2 linked regions of the Oryctolagus cuniculus genome follow. The protein of the gene in region 2 interacts with the protein of the main gene of each other region in a pairwise test. Links are inferred from orthologs where the notes say so. Each region holds a gene or a part of one and is shown on either strand. Other genes may lie near its edges.

Region 1 (3,233 bases), on a different chromosome or scaffold from region 2:
GCTCAGCGCTTCAACCTGAGGCCGTGACAAAAACACTTAGGACTCTCCGGGCTCGTTCAGCCCCCAAACCCAAGGAGTCAGTCATCCTGACTTGTCCTCGCCTGGAACCACCGTGGGCAGAGGAGCAGCCGCCGACAGCTGCCGGGCGGGGTTCTACCACCTGGATTTTCACAGCGGTTGGAAGCAGCCCTGACTTCTGGCCGTGAGATCTGGGATGCAAAATGTCAAGAGCAGCTTGGAAGGGAAAGGGACACGGCCCCTCGAGCAACCCAGATTCTCGGGAAAACAAAGGGAGGCAAAAAGTCGGGTGGCGGTGAAACCCTGGGGTCCCCCGACTCAGGTGGTGGGTGTCTGAAGGAGAGCGTGTGTGAATTAGCAGCCCTTCCGCGTCACCCTCCCCTGCGCTGCGCGTGAGCGAGGAGCGAGGAAGTCATTTCTGCGTCTTCTTAGGATGCCAAGACATTCTTCCGCTTAAGGCTTTGTGTGTCCGTGTGTCCGTGTGTGTGTGTGTGTGTGTGTGTACAGAGACACAGAAGGGCCGCAGCCCTCCAGCTCCTGTTTCTCCTTTTGTCATCTCTATGACCTCTATCAGCAACTAATACCACTCAGTGTGAGAGACAAAGGTATGAAGGAGACAGAAGGAACACGCGCCCTCCTCTCTATCGCCCCAATTGAGGAGGGCAGACTAGGCTTAGCGATTGCTCAGTACATGGTTAGATACTCAGAGAGTGAGACAGAGAAGAGAGACGTAGCAGCAACTTTGATCTATAGATACAGAGCGAGCAGACATCAAACATCGCACAGCGGGACGACAGGGGCGGGGGCAGCTAGTATTGGAGACCACAGGTTTGCAGCATGCTGAGAGAAGAGGCCTCGGTCCCTCTTAGAAACTGGGAAAGAAAGAGAAAGAGCGTGTGAGGAGCCAGCTGGCAGCCCAGACACTGCCCGGGGACGGGCGCACACACAGGTTTACAGTCCTGCTCCTTCAACACCCGACCGTCCGCTCAGCCCCTGCTCCCACCCTATTTCTCTGCTTCTCACGCCTTTCTGCTGGTGTGTGCATGGCCCATTGTCCTGGGTGCCCCTGCAGAGGGCCGGGGAGGGAGGGTGCAGGCCAGGAAGAGAATGGCCCTGTTCTGCAAGAGTAGACAATAAAACAGGATCCCAGGTGTGATGACCCACGAGACCCAGGAAGGTTCCCGTTTGGCTGGAGGTGGGAAAGGAGGGAAGTGCTGGGAGCTGGCGAGAGAACCCTTTCCGCCTCCAGGGAGCAGAGGGATGACGCTGCACCCACCTGGCAGGTGCTTCCTACAGTATGGGTGCATACACAGGTAGGGCAGGAGGAAGGCGAACATCACCTTGACTGGAGATGCCTTGGTTTGGAAAATATCTATCCATCTGAAGCCATGTTAGGGTGGAGGTAGGAGAGCTGAGATCATCTCTCAAGGCCTCTGGGTATCTAAGTCTGTGACCTGCCTGCCGCTTTAGAGCCACAGTGCCCGGGTTTGCTCCTTTTGATGTGTGGTGGTGCCCCCTAGCGGCAGGAGGGCAGTAATGCTGTGGTTACTCCTGCAGCTGAAGGGAGAGTTTGGAAGAGTGGGGAGGTGGGTCCTGAGCACAGGTGCAGCCCCGGGGAGGGGGAACCAAGAGGTGAGCAGTGAGTACATCGTCTAAGTTTTGAAATGGTGGAGAAAAAAACAGAAGCAGGAGGACTAAAAAGGCCGTGGGCAGGAAAGGAGGCAGCCTGCAGTGGTCCGGGATGCATCTGGAAGCTACCTGACAGTGCAGGTGCGGAGCCGTCCTGTGGGAGATTAGCTGGCTGCCGTCTCTTGGTGCAGAGGGAAAAGCTTGGCGGGCTCCTCAGCCTCGTAGCCGCATGGCAGGTCACTTCTGGAGGAAGAGAGACCCAGGGTGAGGAGAGGACCCCGTCACCGTCCCTGAGCTCTGCCACAGGACTCTCCGGGTTACCCGGGAATGCAGGGATGACGCTGGCCTGCACAAGGTCACCAGCGAGGAGACAGGGCCAGGTCAGCAGATGCCTGTGGCATTTCCTCCCCTCACCCTCGGGCCCCATAACCGGGATGGGGAGAAATCAAGGGTGGGTGGGGCTGGAAGAGGGGACGGCGATGACAGCCCAGAGATGGCAAGAGGGGCTCTGATCTCCTGCTGCTGTCGGAGCCCCTGAGAAGCTCTAAGTAGGGCAGAGGAAAAATGGATCATTTCTTCTCGAGGCGCCCAGAGGACCCGAGGGTAGTGGGGAGTGGCATACCTGTTGTCGTTGATGTCTGTGGCATTTCCTGAGAGCACGGGGGTAGAAGATGACAAAGGACACTGGCTGTTAGAAACCACCTCCCTGGACACGCCCACCTCAGCGCCCTGGAGAAGCTAAGCCACGGCTCCAGCCTCAGCTGCCCCGCGCCTGAGATCAGACCTCCCAGGCCCCTCCCTGAGCAGGGTGGGGGGCGGGAGGTCAGGGTGGAGGGCAGGCTCGGAGGTGGGAGGAGTCCACGCGTGAGAGACTTGCAGAGGTGGGCAGTGTTGGAGCTGCGGGAACAGGGGCCACAGTTTTTCTCGTTCTATCAGGAGCCCTGGCCCACGGGAGGAGTCTGCCAGACTCCTTGTAGGCTGCGGTTGCTCACTTTCTGCCGCTTCTCGGCTCACCCCGGGGATGCCCACGGCCGCGCGATTCATCTTTCCCACTCACCATTGTCCATGTTGGCCTTCTGATAGGGAGCCAAGGAGCCACCGGAAGATGCAGCCGCGCTGCTGCTACAGGAGTTGGCGAAGCTGACGGAGCAGAGGAGGGGGAGGCGGGCTCGGGCACACGCGACTGTCCTGAGACCCTCGGCAATAGAGCCACCCACCACCAACACTGCCACCACCAACCCCCTCCCCAGCCCCAAGACCACAGCCCAGCCAGCAGGGCCACAGCTGGGAGGACACACGCCTGCCTTCCAGTCTTGGGCACAAAGTTATTAAGAAAGAGAGGAACGAAGCTAGTTAGGAACATAAAGATGACCCCACTGGGGCTGGCGCTGTGGTGTAGTGGGTTAAGCCTCTGTCTGCAATGCCGGCATCCCATATGGGTGCCGGTTTGAGTCCCAGATGCTCCACTTCTGATCTAGCTCCCTGCTGACGTGACTGGGAGAGTAGTGGAAGATGGCCCAAGTGCTGGGGCCCCTGCACCCATGTGGAAGACCCGGAAGAAGCTCCTGGCTCCTGATCGGCTCAGC
Region 2 (4,344 bases):
ACTACCTGCATGTCCTGTTTCCACCTTAACCTTAACATGTGCAGAACCTACTCCTGCCTCTAACTAATAATTGATTTTTCTTTCTCTGTTCCTTGTTTCTTTACCTTCCAGGTGGAACCCCCTTCTCACTCCCAGACCCCCTTCCTTTCCTGTTGGCTGGTACGGGCCCGGAGAGGCCATTCTGCTGTTTCTCCTCTGCAGCCTCCCTCATGTGTGCTCCTCTTCTACACCCACTGCTTCCACCCTGCTCGGGACTATGAACCCACCTGGGCCCAGGTCTTCCCTGGTGCTCATCACCTGCACCCTGAACAACAGTGATGCTGCCCACTGGTCCTCACTCTCATCTCCCTGCATCATCGTCTCCAGCTGAATCTGCCCAGTGTCTGCCGCAGTCTGGGTGCTCCCAGACAGAAACTGCCCGGACCCTCTAAGAGCCCCCCGGATGGGCATATCCTGCTTGGCTGAACTGATTAATTTCACTCCTTTATCTTTGCAGGGTATTTCAGAGCTCCCCGGTTTGTTTTCCAGTGATCAATGGCCTGGCCAAGGGAATGAACGTGATTTTCCATGCACACGCTTGGGTTTTCTGCTTTAAAGCCCCTCCTCACTGCTTCTGCCTGAAATGCTAGCCCTCTGCATTTTCCAGTACGACCCTTACCACTGGGCAGGGCTGCCCTGATCAGCTCAGGAAGGGTCGACTCCCCCTTCTGAACGCTGGTCCTTCCCAGCGCATTTCAGACTCCCGGACCCCTTGTGATAAAGCCATCCCAGAAGCACAGAGCAGAGCTGACTTCTGAACGGCAGCACCAACAAGCACCTGCTGGCTGCAGGGCACCGACTGCCCTTACCTGGCCTAGCACAGGAGAAGGGGAGGAGCCGGTGGCTGTGGCTGGAGTAAAGGCCGATCTCTGCCTTAACTGGCCGGCGCTGGGGACAGTGAGCGAAGGCTGGGCTGCCCACGCATCCCAGTTATCCGTTTCTGGTTTTTCATTCGTGCTGCTGGGCCACCTGGAAGGAAAAGTACACCACCATCAATGGTAACGCACTTCCGAAAGCTTTCCACCCAGAGTTCAGTGCTCAGTGAGCCCGTGTAAACACAAATCCAGGATTTCCTGTTTATTTATTTAAAAGCAGAGAGACAGACACAGAAAGTCAGAGACGTAGCCCCTGGTTTACTCTCCAAACGTTCACGACAGCTGGAACTGGGCCAGTCCAAAGCCAGAAGCTCGGAACTCAATCAGGATCTCCCCCATGGGTGACAGGGACGCATCACCTGCCACCTCCCAGGGTGTGCATGAGCAGGAAGCTGGAGGGGAAGAGAGCTTGGGCTTGAATGGAAGTTTTCTCATGGGATGTGGGCAACCCAAGCAGAGTCTGACACGCTGAGCTGAGTGCCTGCCCCATTTCTGCAGCTCTCTACAGTTAAAGAACAAGGAAGAGAGGAAAGAGCCCTGGGCTTAGGATTCAGTCTGAGCTTCGACATTAGCAAAGGCCATTTAGCAAACTAAAGCAGTCTCTCTGACTCCTGGCTTCCTCATGGGTAAAACAGGAACGATACTCTGCCCCTTTTTTGTTTCGCTGTGCGGGACCCTCCTTACATGATCATTACCGTCAGCAGTGACAACTGAGGAATGAAGAAGTTAGGAAAACAGCACCACAGCCAAGGCTTCCCAGCACCTCTTCTTTCTCCGTCCACCCTAGGGCAGACACCTGGATGTCTGGTCATTGGCAGGGGCATCCTTACAGCAACCAGTTGTCTTGGATCTTAGGGAGATAGTTCTAATTTTGTGATTTTGTGATATTACAATTTTAGACAAACGCATCTGTGCGAGTGCAGATCTAAACGCAATTTTTGTGTTTACATCTTTGTAAGACACGTAAACACAACTGGAAAAAAAATCAAAACAACTGCTCTGTTAGAGCACACACTCTGATTTTTGGTTTGGAAAATAAAATGTCCATAATTATAGCAGGAGAACTGCACACTACACATTTATTGAGGAAGAATGTCCTACTAATTTAATCCACAGCAAAAACAAATCCTGGAAAACATGGTATTACTCTTCTATTTCAGGCTAAGCTTCAGGTTAGAAAGTTATAACTTCTCAATCGAGATCAAAAGAGGAAGGGACAGTTTTGACTTGGAAGTCCTGCTAATGGGAGGCGACTGTTTTTTAAAAGCAAACTTTATATAGCGAGGATCTTTATGGCTTTCAACCTCTGATATGAAACTCTAAGTATGAAAAACTGGCTATCCTCAAATCCTCTCCTCCACTTCCTCCTGCCCCTGCTAGTCATTCTCCTTTCTTCCCTCTATTTGTCCCACCTGACCCTTCTCCTGCAATACATTTTGATTCCTTAACTTCAACTGGTTTCTTCTGAAAGATGATTAGATTTGAAGAGAAATCCTCCCCCACCCCCAAGCACTTCTCACTCAAATCACTCTTATTTGCATACTGGTTTCAACTAGTTTCAGGCAACTACACATCTAGGTCATGGCCCTGTAACTAGAGGTCTGGACAGCAGGCTCCTCTGTCATTTCAAACCTCTACTTCTTTGCTGTTTTGCTAAATAACAGCGGTCAAGGACACGCACCTCGTCACTCCACTGTACACTTGCACAAGACTAATGAAAATCGAAAGCCTGAGAGGAAACAGCTATCTTATTCAAAACCACATGACTGAATGCAATTTCTGTTTCTGCCCAGCAAGAGAGTCCTATTTAAATTCATGCAGGAAATGACTTGGAATATTTGCTGACAGACATGGATGTCAAAACAGATGACAGTGTTCCCTCGGTATCCGTGGGAGATTGGTTCCAGGACCCCTGTGGACGCCGAAATCTGCAGGCGCTCAAGTAGTATTTATACAGAACCTACACACATTCTTCCGTATGCTTCAAATCAGCTCTAGATTATTTATAATGCCTAAGGAAATGTAAATGCTATGGTAATATTGCTATACTGTGTTGTTTAGGGAGTAATGATGAGATAAAAGTCGGTATGTGTTCAGTGCTAACAAAATGCTTTTTCCTGACCATTTTGGCTCAGCAGTTGGTTGAATCCACAGATGAGGAGGGCCAACTGTGGTAGGAAACTGTATGTCTCCATTTCATCCAGAAAAATGAAAGAGATACACAGATTACAGAATGAAACAAGATAACAGAGTATATTTTGTGCCAGGGTTAAACCATAGTTGGGCAATGATTCCATTAGATCCAGTTCAGAGAATGTAATACACAATCTTCCTGGGAGACAATGAGAGAGAGGGTAATAGGAACAAGCCAGCTTCCTTAACACGGAGAGACAACCACACCATAAAGACACAGAGAGAGGAAAAATGATTCCTGAATTGATATTTAAAAAGCATCAGAAACAGGATGTCACACATACGTGGAGCTGAAGTCGGCCCAGTTGTTGGGGGTGGTGGAGGGCTCGGAAGAGCTCACCACTGAAGGGGCAGGCGTCTCACGCAGAGCCAGTTTTGGGGCAGGGGCAGATGTGGCATCAGTCACTGGTTTGGCTGGAGTGGGAACCTCGTTTTCTGGTATTTTCTCTGCATAGTTTGCAGGGAACCATCCTGTTTTTCCTTTTAATTCTCCTCCAAGCCATCCCGGTTCTCCAGTTTGGCTTTCATCCACCTGTGGGAAAGACAAGTCACAACATCTAAGTGGAACTAAATCCACCCCGGAACACAGCAAACAGCACCCACCATAACAAAGCCCCAAGCCTCCTCCCTGTTTTGACTGACACACAGCACAGAAATGTTTCCATCCTCATCTAAATGTCTGGAAAAATGCTCTGTAAACATTAATCGTGGGAAAACAGCAAGCACAACAATTCAAGTTCTAATTCTTGGTACTTTTTTTTGACAATCAAGACAAAGTGCCAGAAGTACCTGGACAGACAGTCTAAGTTTTCAGAGTTATTTTGAATTGGACAGTGGATCTGATAGCATTCATCACTCAGGAAGTCATATAATTATTAAAAATAATTTGACTAATAAAAGAAAGATGAATTTGTCTTGGGTTTATTATTTGAAGTTGCAACAAAAGGGCGCAATCAATATAAATTTAGTACTCTAAAACCATCTAGTAACTAAGTAGTATTTATTCAGCAGAGAGACAAGGAAGATACAAACAAGCCTTAGGTGGTTTCCACAGGAAGCAAAGCTGACTGATAGGTGTAGCCATTTAAGTGCTCCACAGATACATGATGTGAATGTCAACGAAGGGGTTAATTACAGCAGTAATCAATTTTACTAAGATCTTACAGTTTCCTGTTGTACAAATTTAACTGCTATTCACAAAAGTACATATGAGAATATAATTCTCCAGTTTAAAATG

What was found.
Region 1: the proteins of ITSN1 (region 2) and KIF5A interact in a two-hybrid assay, tested with the Homo sapiens proteins (2 studies listed by BioGRID and IntAct). The link is inferred for Oryctolagus cuniculus from reciprocal best matches to the Homo sapiens genes ITSN1 and KIF5A.

Annotation. Positions count from the first base shown.
Region 1 is NC_091442.1:60,188,689-60,191,921, reverse strand, and holds the end of KIF5A (kinesin heavy chain), read right to left. Parts: intron 2,788-3,233; coding exon 2,705-2,787; intron 2,298-2,704; coding exon 2,270-2,297; intron 1,891-2,269; coding exon 1,812-1,890; 3' UTR 1,777-1,811; intron 891-1,776; 3' UTR 750-890; downstream 1-749. UniProt on the Homo sapiens protein: Microtubule-dependent motor required for slow axonal transport of neurofilament proteins (NFH, NFM and NFL). Can induce formation of neurite-like membrane protrusions in non-neuronal cells in a ZFYVE27-dependent manner.
Region 2 is NC_091435.1:11,216,175-11,220,518, forward strand, and holds part of ITSN1 (intersectin-1), read right to left. Parts: intron 3,640-4,344; coding exon 3,392-3,639; intron 1,009-3,391; coding exon 849-1,008; intron 1-848. UniProt on the Homo sapiens protein: Adapter protein that provides a link between the endocytic membrane traffic and the actin assembly machinery. Acts as a guanine nucleotide exchange factor (GEF) for CDC42, and thereby stimulates actin nucleation mediated by WASL and the ARP2/3 complex.